4 linked regions of the Saccharomyces cerevisiae S288C genome follow. Changing the gene in region 3 together with the main gene of any one other region gives a genetic interaction. Each region holds a gene or a part of one and is shown on either strand. Other genes may lie near its edges.

Region 1 (2,843 bases), on a different chromosome or scaffold from region 3:
AAAATTACCTTTATGATTATATGAAAAGGTTTCAACAAATGTGCAAAGAATGCCGGTATGCTTGGAACGAAGAGGTTGACTATGACCAGAAACTAGAAATTAGAAAAAAATTACAGGTATGGAGGGCAAAATTTGAGGAAATGATGGATAACGAGATACAAATATTACAAAAAAACATGGATATCATGTCAAAGTTTGGTCTCAGAAGTGAGTCCTATCTTACAGCAGCGAATCACGATACAAATACACAACCAAATAATATTCTTCCCATGACGTACCTACTAAAAAAGAAATGACAATAGACTTTTAGGGCTTTAAGAAGAGTCCACGAAAGCACTTCACTATCATAAAGACTATATGTACCTTGATCAAAGAAATTATTGTCAAGATTTTATAGTAAGGGTATTATTTTGAAAACGGAGTCACCTGTTCTTTTATATACACACTTATATCTATCTATATGTCGATGTACATTCTTAGAACAAAAATCTGTCGGACCTTTACTGCGGCATTGTGACTTGAACATGGAAGCTAACTCCCTTGGGAAAAGCTGTTTTAGGCCTATCTGTTGGCCTGTCGATAAAAGACGCCAAGCAAATGACCTCTTCAGATGAATAACCTAAGGAAGACAACACGCCTCTAATAATTCCCACAGGTATCTCCAAAAACGGTTCTATCATTTTTAACTCCTCGTTTTTTGCATCTTCCTCCAAAGAAAATGATTGAATAGGTCGATAGTCATAATCAAGAAGGTAAAAGGTTCCTCTGTGGTTTGTTTTTAAATTATCGATCTGTTTACCAAATATTTGTTTCCAGACATCCCTACAAATGAACTTCATTATTAATAGAAGGTCCATTTCCTTGAATTTTAAATTTGGGTTGTTAGAAAATATCAATAACTCTGACAGCTTCAATCCGATTTGAAACCCAATATTCCTCAGTCTTGCTAAAACCTTTTCTTTTTCCTCTTCATCCGCCTTATACAGCTCATGTATCAAGTTATGAGAACGTATGATATCTACTGTATGATGTTCCTCTATCTTCAGTCTCTTTATCATATTGTTGATGTTACCATTTTCGGAAGTTACATTGCTATCAGAACTGATAACATCGCCTGATATTTGCCTCTCAATGCCCATAGCTAGAGGAACCATCTCGTTCAACAGCATCTGATACACAGATTGACTTACTTTTGGTAATGAATTCTCAAAAATTTGATATTGCTGTTGTGCTCTTTGTTGTTCCGTTAGTGGACCTTGTGGAGAAGATTGGGGATGTCCTACATTATTACTATGTGTAGAGGACATAATTGTTTATCTTCCAACTTTATAACCGGTGTATGTTTTCTTTTATGGCATGAGGTCTTCACTCTCAGCTTGTGAGTGCATACCAGATTCCAAAATATTTAGCATTTTTGGTCTCAAAACGTTGACGCGAGTTTTTGAAAACGATACGCTGGTTCTACTAATGTGAAGAAAGCAAATTTCTTATAAGTAAATTTTGTTTCATGGTTTTTATCATGTAGTTTTATATGTATAAATACGTTAAATGACTGTGGTAGAAAAATAATACAAATGCTATAAAAAAGTTTAAAAACGACTACTTTAGTTCGCTTTTAAAGCTGCCTCATTTGAGAGACTTTCAAATAGACATCGCTTAGGAACCAGATCCTTTTCAGATATATTAGTACCTTTAACAACTTTAAAGGAACCGGTACCGATCGACATCGTTTGACCCAAAATAATACATTCAGAAACACCTTCAACAGCGTCCTTTTTCATATAAAAGGCCGCATCGAATAAATGGTCAGTTGTCTTTTCGAAGGAGGCTAGCTGCAAAACAGAGTCCCTCATTTTACTCAAACCAAATCTTGTAATACCCAACACTTCACCCTTATATGTCATCACATCACCTAATAGTTGGATATGACGTGGATCGACACTCATACCGTGATTACTCATGGTATAGTTAATTTCTCTAATAATGCTATATCTTGCAGCTTCGATACCCAAAACGGAAAAGACTTCTAAAACATGGTTAGTTGTAGTTCTAGAACCAATGACACCATCTGTACACATCACATCTCGCAGGCCGTAACCTTCAACCAATAATTCCCTCTTGCCGTCATCGCGAATATTAATAACCGCACGAGAAATATCAGGTAAACCTTTAACAACAACATCAGGAAGCGCACGACGTAACTGTTGCATTCGGTAAAAAACATCATTCTCACTTGGTTCTTTCGCAGATGTAGATATCGATTTTGCTTTGTACCCTTCTGGGAATACGTTGATTGCAATTCGATCTTTACCAATAATATTGACATCAGAGGCTTGTATTTTCAATTTAGAAGCCCTGGTTATAGCAACCGCGATATCTTCTATGGTCAACTCCAATTGTAGTTTATCAATCGTACCTAAATCAATACGCACTTGAATGAAAGACAAGTTGTCTTTGTAAACATCTTGGACATAGAAAGCTACGTCAGATAGCAGTGTCTTTTCCACTCTACCTTTAACAACCCTAGCAGCCCTTTCATCGTTATCATTTACTAATACAGCATTTATAATAGGTGTAGAAATGACCTTGGAAGCATTGATAATTTCTTTGATACGAGGAACACCTAATGTAACATTCATGGAAGCCACACCTGCAAAATGAAAGGTCTTCAATGTCATTTGTGTACCTGGTTCACCAATGGATTGAGCACCAATAGCACCAATAGCAGTACCTGGCTCCAGTCTTGCCTTACGATATTTGAAAAGAGCAATTTCTAAAAACTTTCTCACCGATTTTTCACTGATTCTATAAAGTTGGCTTACAGATGTTTTAACATTATCAGG
Region 2 (4,465 bases), on a different chromosome or scaffold from region 3:
CTGTGGTGTTCTTCAACAATTCTCCGATGCATTTCTCATGTATAGCCAACTCCACCAGTTTTTTTGAATCCATTATATGCGTGGTGTTGTAAGGGAACGTTTTCGTGTAGAATTTGAGCCCACTCTTCTGTAGGATCTGTGTTCTTTCCTCTTTGGTCTCCGAACCGTCTTCGCCCTCTATGCAAGAGCTTGTTCCAGCCAAGCGATAGAATTCACAGCATTTTTGGAAAACGTTCTTGCCCATCCCTTGCACCAAAAAGTCTGTCTCTTTGATACGGTGGCTGACATGTTTGAAAAGCTCCTTTTTCTCACCCTTTTCCTGCATAGGACATAGAATCCACTCCACGCTCCATACAAATAGGTCCATCGTTTTGTCCCACTTGCTCCTGTTTTGCGATGATCGCTGCATCCCCTTGGGTAGCATCAAACAGTTCACCCCCCTCCTAATTATCCTCTGACACTCCGTGCTATCACGATCATCCTCATCTATATCGTATCTTCTCTTCTTGAAATTAGAGTTGTGGCCGCCCACAGGCCCCAGAACCCGCTTGTTCTTCATTCTAGCATCCATCTTTTGTACATGCACCATTCGCTTCAACTGCGTCAGATAGTTGTAGTCCCTCTGGACATAAGCATTTCGTTCGTGCTTGTCGTCGTCCGCCTGTTTCAACGCCTCACTCGATATATACTCCTTAGGATCATGTGTTTGACCTGAGCAATTGTCCCTTGTCTTGTGCTTCTTGGAACACTCCAAAGAGCAAGTTTGCACCAAACATCTTGGACACTTGTATTTGAACTCTTTTATTCCGCATACACCACACAACACCGCCATACTTGCAAATTGCCACACCCTTCCCTATTAACTGGACTCCTATTCCAGCTCATCTCATCGAATATGAACTTTGACATCCACTATTATTACCGCGAATTTTTTTTTTTTTCAATTTGTTACCCTGCCTTGGGTATCAAAAATTTCATCTCTAAAAGGGAGCGTGATAGATAAAGCAATCACACCTTAAACAATACATTTTTTTTTTTCCTGCAATCTCCAAAGTGTGCAAGGTATACAAAGCAGAATGGTATGTGCCATTACATTACGTGTCAACACTTCTGTCTCTAACAAGCGTTCTTACTAACATGAAAAACTTTTTTAAAACTGTGCTCTCTTGTTGGACTGGTACCTCGTGACAAAGGTATTGGTTTTTTCATTGTTGCTCAGAACTATGTAATATTCTCTTTAGTCCCAAAAAAACGGAATTGCCACCCTACTACAAGCTGAAAAGGAAGCCCACGAAATAGTATCAAAGGCTAGAAAGTACAGACAAGATAAGTTGAAGCAAGCCAAGACTGATGCAGCCAAGGAAATCGACTCATACAAAATTCAAAAAGACAAGGAATTGAAGGAGTTTGAACAAAAGAATGCCGGTGGTGTTGGTGAATTGGAAAAGAAAGCAGAGGCTGGTGTGCAAGGTGAATTAGCTGAGATTAAGAAAATTGCAGAGAAGAAAAAGGATGACGTTGTCAAAATTTTGATCGAGACTGTCATCAAGCCTTCTGCTGAAGTCCATATCAATGCCTTGTAATATTGCATTACATTCTAGTTTTCTAATCATATATCTTTTTATAATATAATACCAATAGAATAAAAATGTATAAACTGACATTGCATTCGGTCTTTACGACTCTCGCTTTATCCATTCAGCCTTTTTTTTTTTTTTTTTTTTTTCTCTATCTGCTAAACGAGTAGTAGTATAATCAAAAATGTGTTATTTAGTATATCGGTTGTAAAGGAGAAAGTATGGTCTCTCTATTTTTATTTTATTAACGAAAAATACTAAACGCCGATGGGGATTACTATATAATTATAATAGTATTTGCAGAATAGTAGAATTCTTTTCACAGTTCACGTTCAGTTTCTCCTCTGTTTTATCGAACGTTTATTCATCATGTCCAAGGTCTATCTGAATTCAGACATGATTAACCATTTGAACTCCACAGTTCAAGCTTACTTTAACTTATGGTTGGAGAAGCAAAACGCAATAATGCGTTCTCAACCCCAAATTATTCAAGATAACCAAAAACTGATAGGCATTACAACGCTAGTTGCCTCAATTTTCACTCTGTATGTTTTGGTCAAGATAATCTCCACCCCAGCAAAGTGTTCCTCGTCCTATAAGCCAGTCAAATTCTCCCTTCCTGCACCAGAGGCCGCTCAAAATAATTGGAAGGGCAAGAGGTCTGTTTCCACTAACATATGGAATCCTGAAGAACCAAACTTTATTCAATGTCATTGTCCCGCCACAGGTCAATATCTAGGTTCTTTTCCATCGAAAACGGAAGCTGACATAGATGAAATGGTTTCTAAGGCAGGCAAAGCTCAATCTACTTGGGGCAATTCTGATTTCTCAAGAAGATTGAGAGTTTTGGCTTCTTTGCATGATTATATTCTAAATAATCAAGATCTTATTGCGAGAGTAGCGTGCAGGGATTCAGGAAAGACAATGTTAGACGCATCGATGGGTGAAATCTTGGTTACTTTAGAAAAAATTCAATGGACTATAAAGCACGGCCAAAGAGCGTTGCAACCTTCGAGACGTCCGGGCCCCACTAATTTTTTCATGAAGTGGTATAAAGGTGCAGAAATCCGTTATGAACCACTGGGTGTGATCAGTTCTATCGTTTCCTGGAACTATCCATTCCATAACTTATTGGGTCCAATTATTGCAGCATTGTTCACAGGGAATGCCATTGTAGTAAAATGTTCAGAACAAGTTGTCTGGTCTTCGGAATTTTTCGTCGAGCTGATCCGCAAATGTTTGGAAGCTTGTGATGAAGATCCAGATTTGGTTCAGTTGTGCTATTGTTTACCTCCAACTGAAAATGATGATTCCGCAAATTATTTCACCTCTCATCCTGGTTTCAAACATATCACTTTTATTGGCAGTCAGCCCGTAGCGCACTATATTCTAAAATGCGCTGCCAAATCATTGACACCCGTAGTTGTGGAGCTTGGTGGTAAGGATGCGTTTATTGTCCTAGACTCAGCTAAGAATTTAGATGCTTTATCTTCTATCATCATGAGGGGTACTTTCCAATCATCCGGTCAAAATTGTATTGGTATTGAGAGGGTTATTGTCAGTAAGGAAAATTATGATGATTTAGTCAAGATTTTGAATGACCGTATGACTGCAAATCCACTACGCCAAGGGTCTGATATTGATCATTTAGAAAATGTTGATATGGGGGCAATGATATCTGACAACAGATTCGATGAACTAGAAGCTTTGGTTAAAGATGCTGTTGCAAAGGGAGCTCGTTTACTTCAAGGTGGTTCCCGCTTCAAACATCCAAAGTATCCACAAGGTCATTATTTCCAACCAACTCTTTTGGTGGATGTCACTCCAGAAATGAAAATAGCACAAAACGAAGTGTTTGGCCCAATTTTAGTCATGATGAAAGCTAAGAATACTGACCATTGTGTACAACTAGCCAACTCTGCGCCATTTGGTCTAGGTGGTTCTGTGTTTGGTGCGGATATCAAGGAATGCAATTACGTCGCAAATAGCCTACAAACTGGTAATGTAGCCATTAATGATTTTGCTACATTCTATGTTTGTCAATTACCATTTGGTGGTATCAATGGTTCAGGTTACGGTAAATTTGGTGGTGAAGAAGGTCTTTTGGGTTTGTGCAATGCCAAAAGTGTCTGTTTTGATACTTTGCCTTTTGTCTCCACTCAAATTCCAAAACCATTAGACTACCCTATTCGTAACAATGCTAAGGCTTGGAATTTTGTAAAGAGTTTCATCGTAGGAGCTTATACAAATTCCACATGGCAAAGAATAAAGTCACTGTTCTCTTTAGCTAAAGAAGCCAGCTAGTTTACTTTAGAGGAAGCAACAAACTTATCAATAATTTGGTATTTATTATTATATAAAATGAACTTTTTATGTACAAGATTTATGATTTTTTGATTCTATACACGTTACGAAATTCCTCATTTTACAATGCTTTTTTCAACTTTCTGGAATTGGTCATGAAGCTTGTTCACGTAATCCTTATGCAGTTTTTCCAAATCCCTCTCAGCTTTTCGAACGGCATCATCCTTTTTGAAACTTTTGAATTCCTTTAGAATACTGCCTCTGATAGTTCCTAATGAGTCTTTTAGCGATGACTGCTTATATTCTTCAAATACTCTCTTTAAGTCTTTAGCTACTTTTAACCGGGATTCTGTAGTTGGTGGTGGTAACGAAACTTTCAATTGCAAATCGTTATTTGGGACCCTTTCAGGAGTTAAATTCAGGTTCGCAGCAAGCACCCCACTGATCACAGTTTTCACATCTTTGGGGTCGAAAACTGTTATTAAAAGTGCATTTTTACCTTTCAAGGATGTGGTAGCAATATCTGTAAACTTTCTGTTATTTTTGAACACTAAACTATTGAATACCTTAGGATTAAAATTTCC
Region 3 (6,623 bases):
AGGCTGGCTAAATTCAAATACAAGTTGCACTACAAACATAAGTGGGAGCTCGACATATTCATCAACAGCATTAAGAAGATCGCCAATTTAAGGCACTATTTGATGTTTCAAACATTAACATTAAACGGTTTCTCATTAAATGCAGGACCCAAAACGTTATTAGCTAGGAAAATAGAAAAACAGCCCCAGGTACCTAATTTGTTAATAGAAAATGGGGACGCTGATGCCCTGGATACACCGGTGGAAGAGGATATAAAACCTGTAATAGAATTTATGTACAAGCCTGTTATTAATTTAGGTGAAATTATTGATGTACATGTGTTGCATAGGCCTAGAAGACATAAGGTACGTACCCAGTCGAAGCAACCCCAGGAGGAATGAAAAACCGATAACAAAGTGATGGCTTAATATTATAACTTCTATATAACGGATATATTTTATGGTAAATGTACATATTTCAGTAATGGTAATAATGACTTTTCTTTTTATCTTATTTTTATTTTTGTATTTTTTGTCTTCTGCTCTTTGTTTCTGTGCCTCATATATCAAATGAAATATCATCTCTCGAAGAACTGAATCTATTTGAATTTTGATTACCATCAGCAAATGGATTTTCAATGAACGGTTCTGCACTTTCAAAGTCGTTACTTCCCAGTCCATTATTGTCATTAAAGGGGTTCGCCGAAGCATCTTGTAATTCACCGTACTTACCTCTCTTTTGAGTAGTATCATACATTCTGACAATTTTTTCTTGCCCACCCTCTTCAGCCTGTGAAAAGGCAAATCCTCTTTGTTTTTTCATTCTTTGCACTTGCCTCACCTTCCTGATGGCATTTTGAAATTGCTGAACGTGCGGCCTAGAGTCGCTGATATTGTATTTCTGCATTTCTTGAATAACATGATACGTTTCTGGTTCATACATTCTTTTATAGTACTTCCATAGAAAATCTCTTACCAGTGCAAAAATTGGTAAAACGATCAAAGTTAACCAAAATACACCGGATCCATACGTGTGTTTAACCACACCATAATACTCTCTTGAGATGTTAGCATGAGGAAATATAGAAGCATAAATTGGGAAGAATATTAACCAAAATAAGAGGGAACCAGGAATGGCAATTAAGGTGAATTTCGTCCATTGATTAGTTACCAAAGCAGCCTTTCCCAAAACAATAATGACACTTGTAGTGTAGACAGTTACACCCCAAGACCAATGATCAGCTAGTTCGCCGTGCATATTTAAGGCAAACCCATATCTGTAAATCAATATGGTGCCAATAAATACTATTGCAGAATGGAAAAAGCCATTAATAATCCATCCCCAGAAGATGTAAACAGAGAAAAATTGACCCTTCTGTCCTAATTTGTACAATTGTGGGTACCGCTCAAGTAATCTACTACTAACAAATTGATCAAATACACCAATGACAAAAGGGGGCCAAACAGTGAAGAATAAGTTGTAGAAACTCATTGTCCATGATTCCATAATGGATTGACCTGAAAAGGCATTGGCAAAAACGTACCAAAACTGCGTCATGTATAATGCTGTATTCTTGTAAAAAGAGTACAAAATTGCGACAGAAATTCTTTGATAAGACCAGGAGCCATGGACAAGTAATAGTTTTTTTAAAAATTTAAATTGGCCAACAGCTATATCAGCTGAACGAGCCGCTTGCATACCTTCCATACCACTAATACCGACACCAACATGAGCTGCCTGTATCATACTAACATCGTTGGCACCATCGCCAATGGCTAGCAGTAGTGAAGACGACTTTCTTTTTACCATTTTAACAACCAAGGCTTTCTGTAGTGGAGATACACGGCAACATATAACCGCTTTACAAAGCTTCGCCACAGTTAGCAAATAATCTTCTAATTCTGGTTCCAAGGCAAAGCCTAATGACTTCCCATCAATGACGAGCGCTAAGGTATTCATATCATGTGTTGACAATTGATGCTCGTTTAGAGCGTTAATCTTCTCTAACAAATTTCTCTCAGTATCATCTCTGGTTTCCTCGTTGATGATCAACAAATTCATGTCTTCACTCAATAAACGGCAACTCATACCAATGTTAATAGCAGTTTCCTGTCTGTCACCAGTTAAAACCCAAATTTTAATACCCGCTTCTTGTAATGTGTGGATAGTTTCTGGAACACCGTCCTGTAACTTATCTTCAATAGCAGTTGCACCAATTAATATTAGATTTTTCTCGATTAGATTTGCGGCTTCGTCTAGCTTCTCGGCTCTGTTATCTAATGTTGTGGCAGCCTCATTATAAATGCTATTCCATTCTTCATATTCTCCTTCAGAGATATCTCTCATCGCCAAACACAACGTCCGCAAACCCTCAGATGCATAATCTTCTAAATGTCTCATTGTAGCTTCTACATATTGATTAGCTTCATCATCCAATCTTTCCAGAATGACAGTATCAGCACCTTTACAGAATAACTTTATCGAACCATCCGGAAATCTAAATATAGCGCTCATTCTCTTCCTGGTGGAATTAAATTCACAAATGTTAAGTAGTTGATACTCTTTTTCCTCGCCAGTTTCCTCCAATAAAACAGTTACAGAGTTTGGTTTACGGATGATAAACTTATACCCTAAATCTGCACCACCTTGAACGAGGGCACCTTCATCTGGAGAGGCTGCTTGATATTTAATAGATCCATCGCTTTGAAATTCTGGAATGACAGTATGACAGGTAGCCAGTAATGTTAAGAAGTCATTGATAATAGGTGAATCCTCATCAGAGGGATCATTTAACTTTTTCTTCAAATCGTCAAATTTTCTATAACCAACTTCAATCCCATCTTCAACAGTGGCCGTTTTATCTTCAGGTATTTTATCAATATAGCAATGGCCTGCAATAGAGCAGGATTTAAATTCCATAATATTTCTTGTTAAAGTTCCTGTCTTGTCACTGAATATATATTCTATTTGACCAAGTTCTTCAACCAAAGAGGATGTACGAACCACAGTTGGGGTATCAGTTTTTTCGTAGTACAAATCTAGATCTGAACCTATCATAAAAGCCTGATAATATTTGATTAATTCAACGGTGACAAATAGAGAAATAGGAACTAGATTCGAAAATAGAATCCAAAATGTTAAAAAGTCTTTGAAGAATAAGCCAGCCTTGTTGGTACCCTCCAGGTAAAGGTACGATAAATGTTTGGCATCTGCAGTAGACATAATAACATTACCAATTGAAGAAATTAAAATTAGCACGATTAAAACTGTGAACAATGCAATAATCTGTCTGTTGATAATTTTCTCAACCGCGGTTCTTTTAATTGGGGTTGCAGTAGCATTACGCAATAACTTAGTTTCATGACCAGTGAAGATAACTAAACCAAATATCCATGCAGTATTTCTTAAAGTTGCACCTCTTAAAATCATTTGGTCAGGAGATAACGGTATTTGACGATCATTTAAAGTCATTGTACCTTCATAAGTATACAAGCTAGAGTTCGGCTGTTCGGAAACAACTTTTCCGTTCATGTTCTTCAAAGTTTTAACGTCTATAAATTTGGCAGTTTCTACTCTCGACTGTTTGATTTTCAAATTTGTTTCACCATCCAAGTTGGCAGTTTCAATGTAGCAAAGACCCTCCGGTTCCGAAGATGACAAAATTATGGTATCAGCAGGAATAGGTTCCTCTGATTTTACTCTAATTATGTCACCTACACGAATATCAATCCATCGTTTCTCAACAAAGTCATCATGTGCTTCTGAAAATATTTCTGCTGTCGAATTATTTAATTCTTTATCAGAATTAGCTCTCTTGATATCTTCGATACATTCCTTCATGGCAGAAACAATCAAAACCACTAATAAAGTACCAATTGTGGTGTATCTATTAGTTGGCGAGACGTGAGGCACCTGTTGAATGGCAGATGTACATAAAAAAAACAGATTAGCGTATTTGGAAAATTCTTGGAACAAAAATTTAGGCAGAAAGGTCGCAAAATTATACTTGGTGGTAGATATATGGTTGTCACTATAACCGAAGGAGGAATTAGCGAGAGAATCGTTGATGTGGATGACTCTTGGTTCACCATTGCCCTCTGCGTCGCCAACGTTCTTTCTTAAAATGTACCGGTTGAAAAGAATTTTAATGTTGAACTTATTCCTCGAGTCTAGATAATTATCGTCTAATTCGTTATTAGTCACCGCATTGTAATGATTCATTTCGAAACTTTCGGGCCCTTTCTTCCGTTTGAACGTAAAGGCATTTTTGAGACCATTACCAAACCTAGCAAATAAACCGGGAGGCTTGACTGCTCGTAGGGATTGTGGTTGATATGCATCTGAGTCGAATCTATTGGCATTCCAAGACGTTTGGTCGTCATGGTTATTGCTCATAAATAGATTTTCATGGACATCATTTTCAATGTTATCATCATCAGCGTCTAAGTCGATAGTCTCTTCGGGAAGTACATGACTTGGTGGTATATAATTCGCGTTCGCATGTGAGTTGGTGACCTTTGAACGGGATCCAGAATGAGAAGTCGTGTCGTCTAAGAAGTCAATATCGAAAAGCGTGTCGTCCTCCCCAGGTTTCCTCTTTGGGGGGGTTTCTCTGTCGTCATTCATGGTAAAATCAGGGAATGAAAGAACCTACCAGTAAATTATTGCTTGGCGCTAACCTCTATTTGGCGTTACTGGCTTCTTGTTGCACTATTCCCCTTAGAATTGCCAACAATTGTTGATTATATGTTTCTTCAACTTAGTGGCATTAAACAGATTTGGGTTTTCTGGCAAAAAAAGCCAATCACGTGATCAGGAAGATTTCAGTGATTTACGCTTCAAATAACCTTTACCTCAATAATCCCGTAATAGTAAGCTTCTAATAGTAAGCTTCTAATTTGCAATGTTATTAGCCCAACAGCTACTAAAGGTATTATTTTTTTTTTTTTTGATAAGAAATTTAAGTGTTACAGAATGGGCCATCTTACAAAAATAATAGTCTTTATGTATTTTTATATATGTAAAAGAATTGAAATATTTTATAACTGGTTGTTATTATGGTACAGTGCGCTGCCCAATCCACGTGGAAAAATCCTGTTCATTCAATAATAGAAACTGAAATCATGTAATGTTGCGTAGTATAGTGCGTGAGCTTATTGTGCCACTTCTTGCTCAGCATTTTGAACTTCGTGTTCCTCCTCGTATTCGATTTCGACTTTAGGACGTTTAGTTTTGGCACTAGTTCCCTTCTTACGTCTCTTGGCTGAATTCTTATTTTCTTCATCACTATCGCTGTCGCTCTCGCTTTCACTGTCGCTTTCGCTTTCACTGGCGCTGGAAGCTTCTCTGTCAGAGTCAGCTAACCACTTTTCTAAGTCATCCACGTCAACGTATTCACCTTCGCCATCATCTGCAACGTATTCAACTTCCCCATCATCACTTTCCTCTTCTTCATCCCAGTCTTCTTCCTCGTCCTGAGAATTCTCCTCTTCCATTTGACCCATTATCTTCTTCCAGACCTTTTCGTCAACATTTAATGGTTTATCACCGTAAGCACCACTCTTTAATCTGTCCATCAATTCTTTTTCGATGGCTTTTTCAATCTTGGCAGCTACCAATGCCTTTCTCTCCCTGTTTTGTTCTCTTCTTTTGACCTTTGGTGCTACACCAACGTAGTGTCTCTCCTCCTCCCTTAATGCTAAACGTCTCTCTGTTATCATGACCTGCGTCAATTTTGTAAATCTCTGTTTACACTTATGACGGAAAAACTTGCTCCAATGTAGTAGGTGTTCGTCGATCTGTTGTAAAGCCTTCGTGTAATTTTTGGATAGTTTGATTCTTTCCCATAACTTGGCAGGAGTGTGCGCTCTTTCAGGCGTCTTCATATACAAGTACAGTTTCCCATTGTCACACTTCACTGTTGCATACTTGGAGTTGGCAAGTGGGCATGATTGCCTTGTACACAACCCAGTGACGTTATACTCATTTCTGCAAAAATTTTGACCATTAGGTGCCTTAATTCTATGAGAGCAGAAACTTTGATTAATCACTTGCCAAACAATTTCGTCGGACATATCCTCGTTGTATTCTAACCGTTGTAGTTATGTACTGAAGAGAACACTGTCAAAAGAAAGAACTAAGCAATGCAATATCTGCCTCTATACCAATCACTTTTTCATTTTTTTTCAAAAGCTCATCGGAAAATTTTTCAAAAAAAAAAAAAAAAAAAAAAAAGGTTTATTACCCTACTGCATTTTGATAATCTGAACATAATGAGCTAATGAAAGCAATTCTCATTTAAAAACAAGTATTCTCTCTTATTGAAGTATGCATTATCTATCATTATAAATTCTTTTATTCTGTTCGAGTCCATGTTTTTAAAAAAAAAAAAACATGTATGTATGCTCCATCTATATATGCTCCATCTGTATATTTTATATGCAAAGTTTTTTACAAGAGGAATTTGGGAACTGGAGGAAAGTGGCACAATACCTCATGTGGATAGTTCATTAATCTCTTCTTGTGTTAATGTGCTAATATAAACACACTTACTCAGCAATTCGTGGTTAACTTTGAAAGTGTAAAACTTGGACCATTGAACCCTTTGAATGAAATTCTTGACTATTTGAACGTTCGTATCGAA
Region 4 (3,430 bases), on a different chromosome or scaffold from region 3:
TAAAACAGGCCTATGGTTCGATAAGCGTACAGATTTTGGGATATACCATAAACTTTGTATAGAAAGTGTTGTATAAGTGCATATACTCCATCGATTATGTGGTTCTACAAAATTGACATAAGAAAATTAGAGAGTTATAAAAAAGACAAAAGTGAGGATATCAACAGAGAAGATAAAATATAGTAATAGGTTGTAAATAATAACAAAACTTGCATGAAAACTTGGTAAACTTCAAATTTTAACCTTCGTATGATGATTAAAAAGGATATGACATCATGAGAAAAAAATGAGCGATCTGTCTATCAATAATTAAAGGAAGAAGTAGAAATAGATAAAGGTTTTTTCTGCTTCATCTTTAACAGCAATATAGCATATTCTTGTGGTTCGAAAGAATAAATTCTAGTCATTATAGTGAAAAGAGAACAAAACAATATAAGATTTAGGGGATGGTAAAAATGATTTCTTAGTTCCTCTAATGATTTCATATCCTTTCCTGTCACATGAAGAGAAAAAGGAAGGAAAAAGAAGAAAAGATAGATAATATATTAGTGCAACGGTAACAAGTTGTTACTTTATCGTTCTCCTTACAAAACAATTTCCTTTTCTTCGTCCCACAACTCTCTTTGGAATCTCCAATGAATGGATGAAAGATCCTCCTTCCTGTCTTCTTTGTCACCCACCAAAGTACCACTTGGAGCATTCTTCGTTGATAAATTTAGAGCAGAGGCGAGTTTTAAGAAAGTGTCATCCTTTTCAGGTACAAGGGCGCCTTCTTCGGGCGTGACAGAGTAGTCAAAATCTTTGAACCATCTTCTTTGCCAGCTAATGCCTTTAGCTTCTTCCTCTTTTCTCAATTCTCTTTGCGTTTCTTCCAATTCAGTTTTCGTTTTGGCAATTAAGTTAAAATCGCCTAATTTGATGGCACCAGCCACGTCGTACCAGGCTTTTCTACTTTCCAGTGGGTGTTGCTCCTCCAAAGGCTTGACATTCAGATGTTCAGCAGGGATTCTAGCAGCATCGTAAAATAATCGTGATTCTTCTTTCTTATTTGCCTTGATTATTTTAGAAGAGCCAGACCATTGGCCTGATATTGTGTATAATGCCTTTTCCTTGTCCTTGCTATCTTTAGAGTCTTTGTAAATTCTTGCCTTGAATGAATTCTTTTTACCAGAAAAGTAGCCTCTACCTGAAAATTCAATAACACAAAGTAGACCTGTCGAAGATTGGATATATGATTTTCCTTCCAATTCAACAAAGGGAGAAGCGACAAGAATACCTTCAATATGCAATGGAGGTGGGGTAACCAAATAACTCTCATCCTTAATATCCAACATAGTGTGACCAAATTGTTTAACAGTCAGCATTAAGGATTTAGTGAAACTGGCTTTAATTTGGTTGTAGCCTTGCAGCTTAACCTTGTTCTTATCATTGAAGATGGAAAAAGCAGTGACGGGTGGATGGTGAGAAACTTGCTCACTTAACAAAACCGTTTCTCCAAATTCAGGATGCTCTTTATTTTCCCATTTACCAACGAACAACTCACCTAGAAATGGGTTCAAAGGTTTTTTCTCAGAACCTAAGGATTCATTACGAGAACAGTATTGAGATTTTAAAGTGGAAATGAACCATTTAGTAACGGCCAGCATACGGGCCAATTCGGGTGACTCGACTTCAGGGTCAATTAAACAGTGTTCTTTGTAATTATCGTCATTGATAAAAGAGGGTTCCAAGAATAGCTCTGGATGTTCAGCCCAGTACTGAGAAAACTCGGTCAATGAGATTGGAGATAAAATGAATGGAGGAGCCGATAACGAAGAAAGATCACCATTGAATGAAGCGATTGACTTCAAGAAAGAAGTCCATGAGGATGAGCTTGCGTATTGAGACATGACTTGAAATTCTTGAGACTAAATCTTATAAATTTTTCGATTTGTTTCTAGGAGAAAAGTTTGATATATTTCTGTTATGTTCAGACTGGTGATTTCGTTGAAAGCGTGAACAAATAGCCAGTTTCTATCCAATGTATAGTTTTCTTTCTTTGTTTTTTTCTTTAGTACAACAGCTAGAAATTGGGTAAAAAAAAAGCCAATGTGATAGAGTCAAACTCAAAGAAAAGTTTACTTAAGAACTTATCGACGAAATATCGTTTTACTTGGAATAGTAATACTTGCACAGCTCAAGACAGAACTATTGAAAAATAAACCAGAGCCCAATAAACGTGGTACTTGTCGAGTAGTCCAGGAAATGGGCAAAGGTTGGAAAACAAGAATAATCAACGAACGCAATGGCAAAAGGAGAAGTCCGCATCCGTGCACCTCACAATTCCGAAAGATAATGACTTACGTGAGAGGGCCCAAAAATGCTGCAGCTAGTAAAACGCGAACGGAATGAGTTACTGGTCCCGTGAAGTGATTGACACAATGGTCGGTGCGATTATTCTTCGTGCTGTAACAAGATGAGGTACATACGGGAAAGAGCTTATTTTAGTTCGTTTAGGAGCTCCGGAAATTATTTGCACGAAAGTTTTCGTTGCCCGGATTGAAAATTTACTGTTGACATGAAAGTACATTAAAAGATTAGGTTCTGGTATATTGTTTATGTTTTACAAATGATTTGGACCGGGAAATTGCAAAAGATGCTTCCGTTGAGATTAGACGCGAGTGATTGTGATGTTAGTAAAGACGATTAGCCGAACTATTGAATCAGAATCTGGATTTCTACAGCCGACGCTGGATGTTATTGCTACTCTACCTGCAGACGATCGTTCTAAAAAAATACCTATTAGTCTGGTAGTGGGATTTAAACAAGAGGCCTCGCTGAATTCATCTTCATCCTTATCATGTTATTACTACGCCATTCCCTTAATGAGGGATAGACATATTAACCTCAAATCAGGCGGAAGCAACGTTGTGGGGATACCGTTATTAGATACTAAAGATGACCGGATTCGTGATATGGCTAGACACATGGCCACAATAATATCTGAAAGGTTCAATAGGCCGTGTTATGTAACGTGGTCATCGCTGCCTAGTGAAGATCCCTCTATGCTAGTAGCAAACCATTTATATATCTTAAAGAAGTGTCTCGATCTCTTGAAAACTGAACTCGGTGAGTAAAGTAAGAGTTCTTTAGACATTCATGATTGTAATGTAATTTAATTAAAATACTAAGTATAATGCGGCTCCAAAATACTGAATCAAACCTTTGATTCGAAAATATTTTGGAAAAAATAAATGATTTGATTGACTTGTCAGACTGCCATTTGTACCCACCCATGAATCCCTATCCTTCCAAAATGGAAGCACATAGGATGGGTCAAGATCATCGCGCCATTAAATATCGCAACAAATTCCAAAGGAAGTTATCACAATTGCAACGGCAAAGCAAAATTTTATTCAAAATTATAGATGGCCGAACCGCTAAGGATTGC

What was found.
Region 1: mutations in DRS2 (region 3) and TRS33 together harm fitness more than expected from each alone (negative genetic interaction), as found in Saccharomyces cerevisiae (3 studies listed by BioGRID, with this or other methods).
Region 2: mutations in DRS2 (region 3) and MSC7 together harm fitness more than expected from each alone (negative genetic interaction), as found in Saccharomyces cerevisiae (2 studies listed by BioGRID).
Region 4: of DRS2 (region 3) and KES1, a mutation in one rescues a mutant of the other (synthetic rescue), as found in Saccharomyces cerevisiae (5 studies listed by BioGRID, with this or other methods).

Annotation. Positions count from the first base shown.
Region 1 is NC_001147.6:538,159-541,001, forward strand, and holds TRS33 (Trs33p), read right to left. Parts: upstream 1,308-2,843; coding exon 501-1,307; downstream 1-500. Other genes in the region: mitochondrial HMG-box protein CIM1, read left to right, coding at 1-296; DNA-directed RNA polymerase III core subunit RPO31, read right to left, coding at 1,605-2,843.
Region 2 is NC_001140.6:184,291-188,755, reverse strand, and holds MSC7 (meiotic recombination directing protein), read left to right. Parts: upstream 1-1,946; coding exon 1,947-3,881; downstream 3,882-4,465. Other genes in the region: BCD1 (Bcd1p), read right to left, coding at 1-832; VMA10 (H(+)-transporting V1 sector ATPase subunit G), read left to right, coding at 1,077-1,079, 1,242-1,583; RRF1 (Rrf1p), read right to left, coding at 3,998-4,465.
Region 3 is NC_001133.9:95,092-101,714, forward strand, and holds DRS2 (aminophospholipid-translocating P4-type ATPase DRS2), read right to left. Parts: upstream 4,607-6,623; coding exon 539-4,606; downstream 1-538. Other genes in the region: DNA-binding protein SAW1, read left to right, coding at 1-381; ribosome biosynthesis protein MAK16, read right to left, coding at 5,134-6,054; mitotic regulator LTE1, read right to left, coding at 6,474-6,623. UniProt on the Saccharomyces cerevisiae protein: Catalytic component of a P4-ATPase flippase complex which catalyzes the hydrolysis of ATP coupled to the transport of phosphatidylserine and small amounts of ethanolamine from the lumen to the cytosolic leaflet of the trans-Golgi network and ensures the maintenance of asymmetric distribution of phospholipids.
Region 4 is NC_001148.4:277,811-281,240, forward strand, and holds KES1 (oxysterol-binding protein KES1), read right to left. Parts: upstream 1,890-3,430; coding exon 585-1,889; downstream 1-584. Other genes in the region: POC4 (Poc4p), read left to right, coding at 2,670-3,116. UniProt on the Saccharomyces cerevisiae protein: Lipid transport protein (LTP) involved in non-vesicular transfer of lipids between membranes.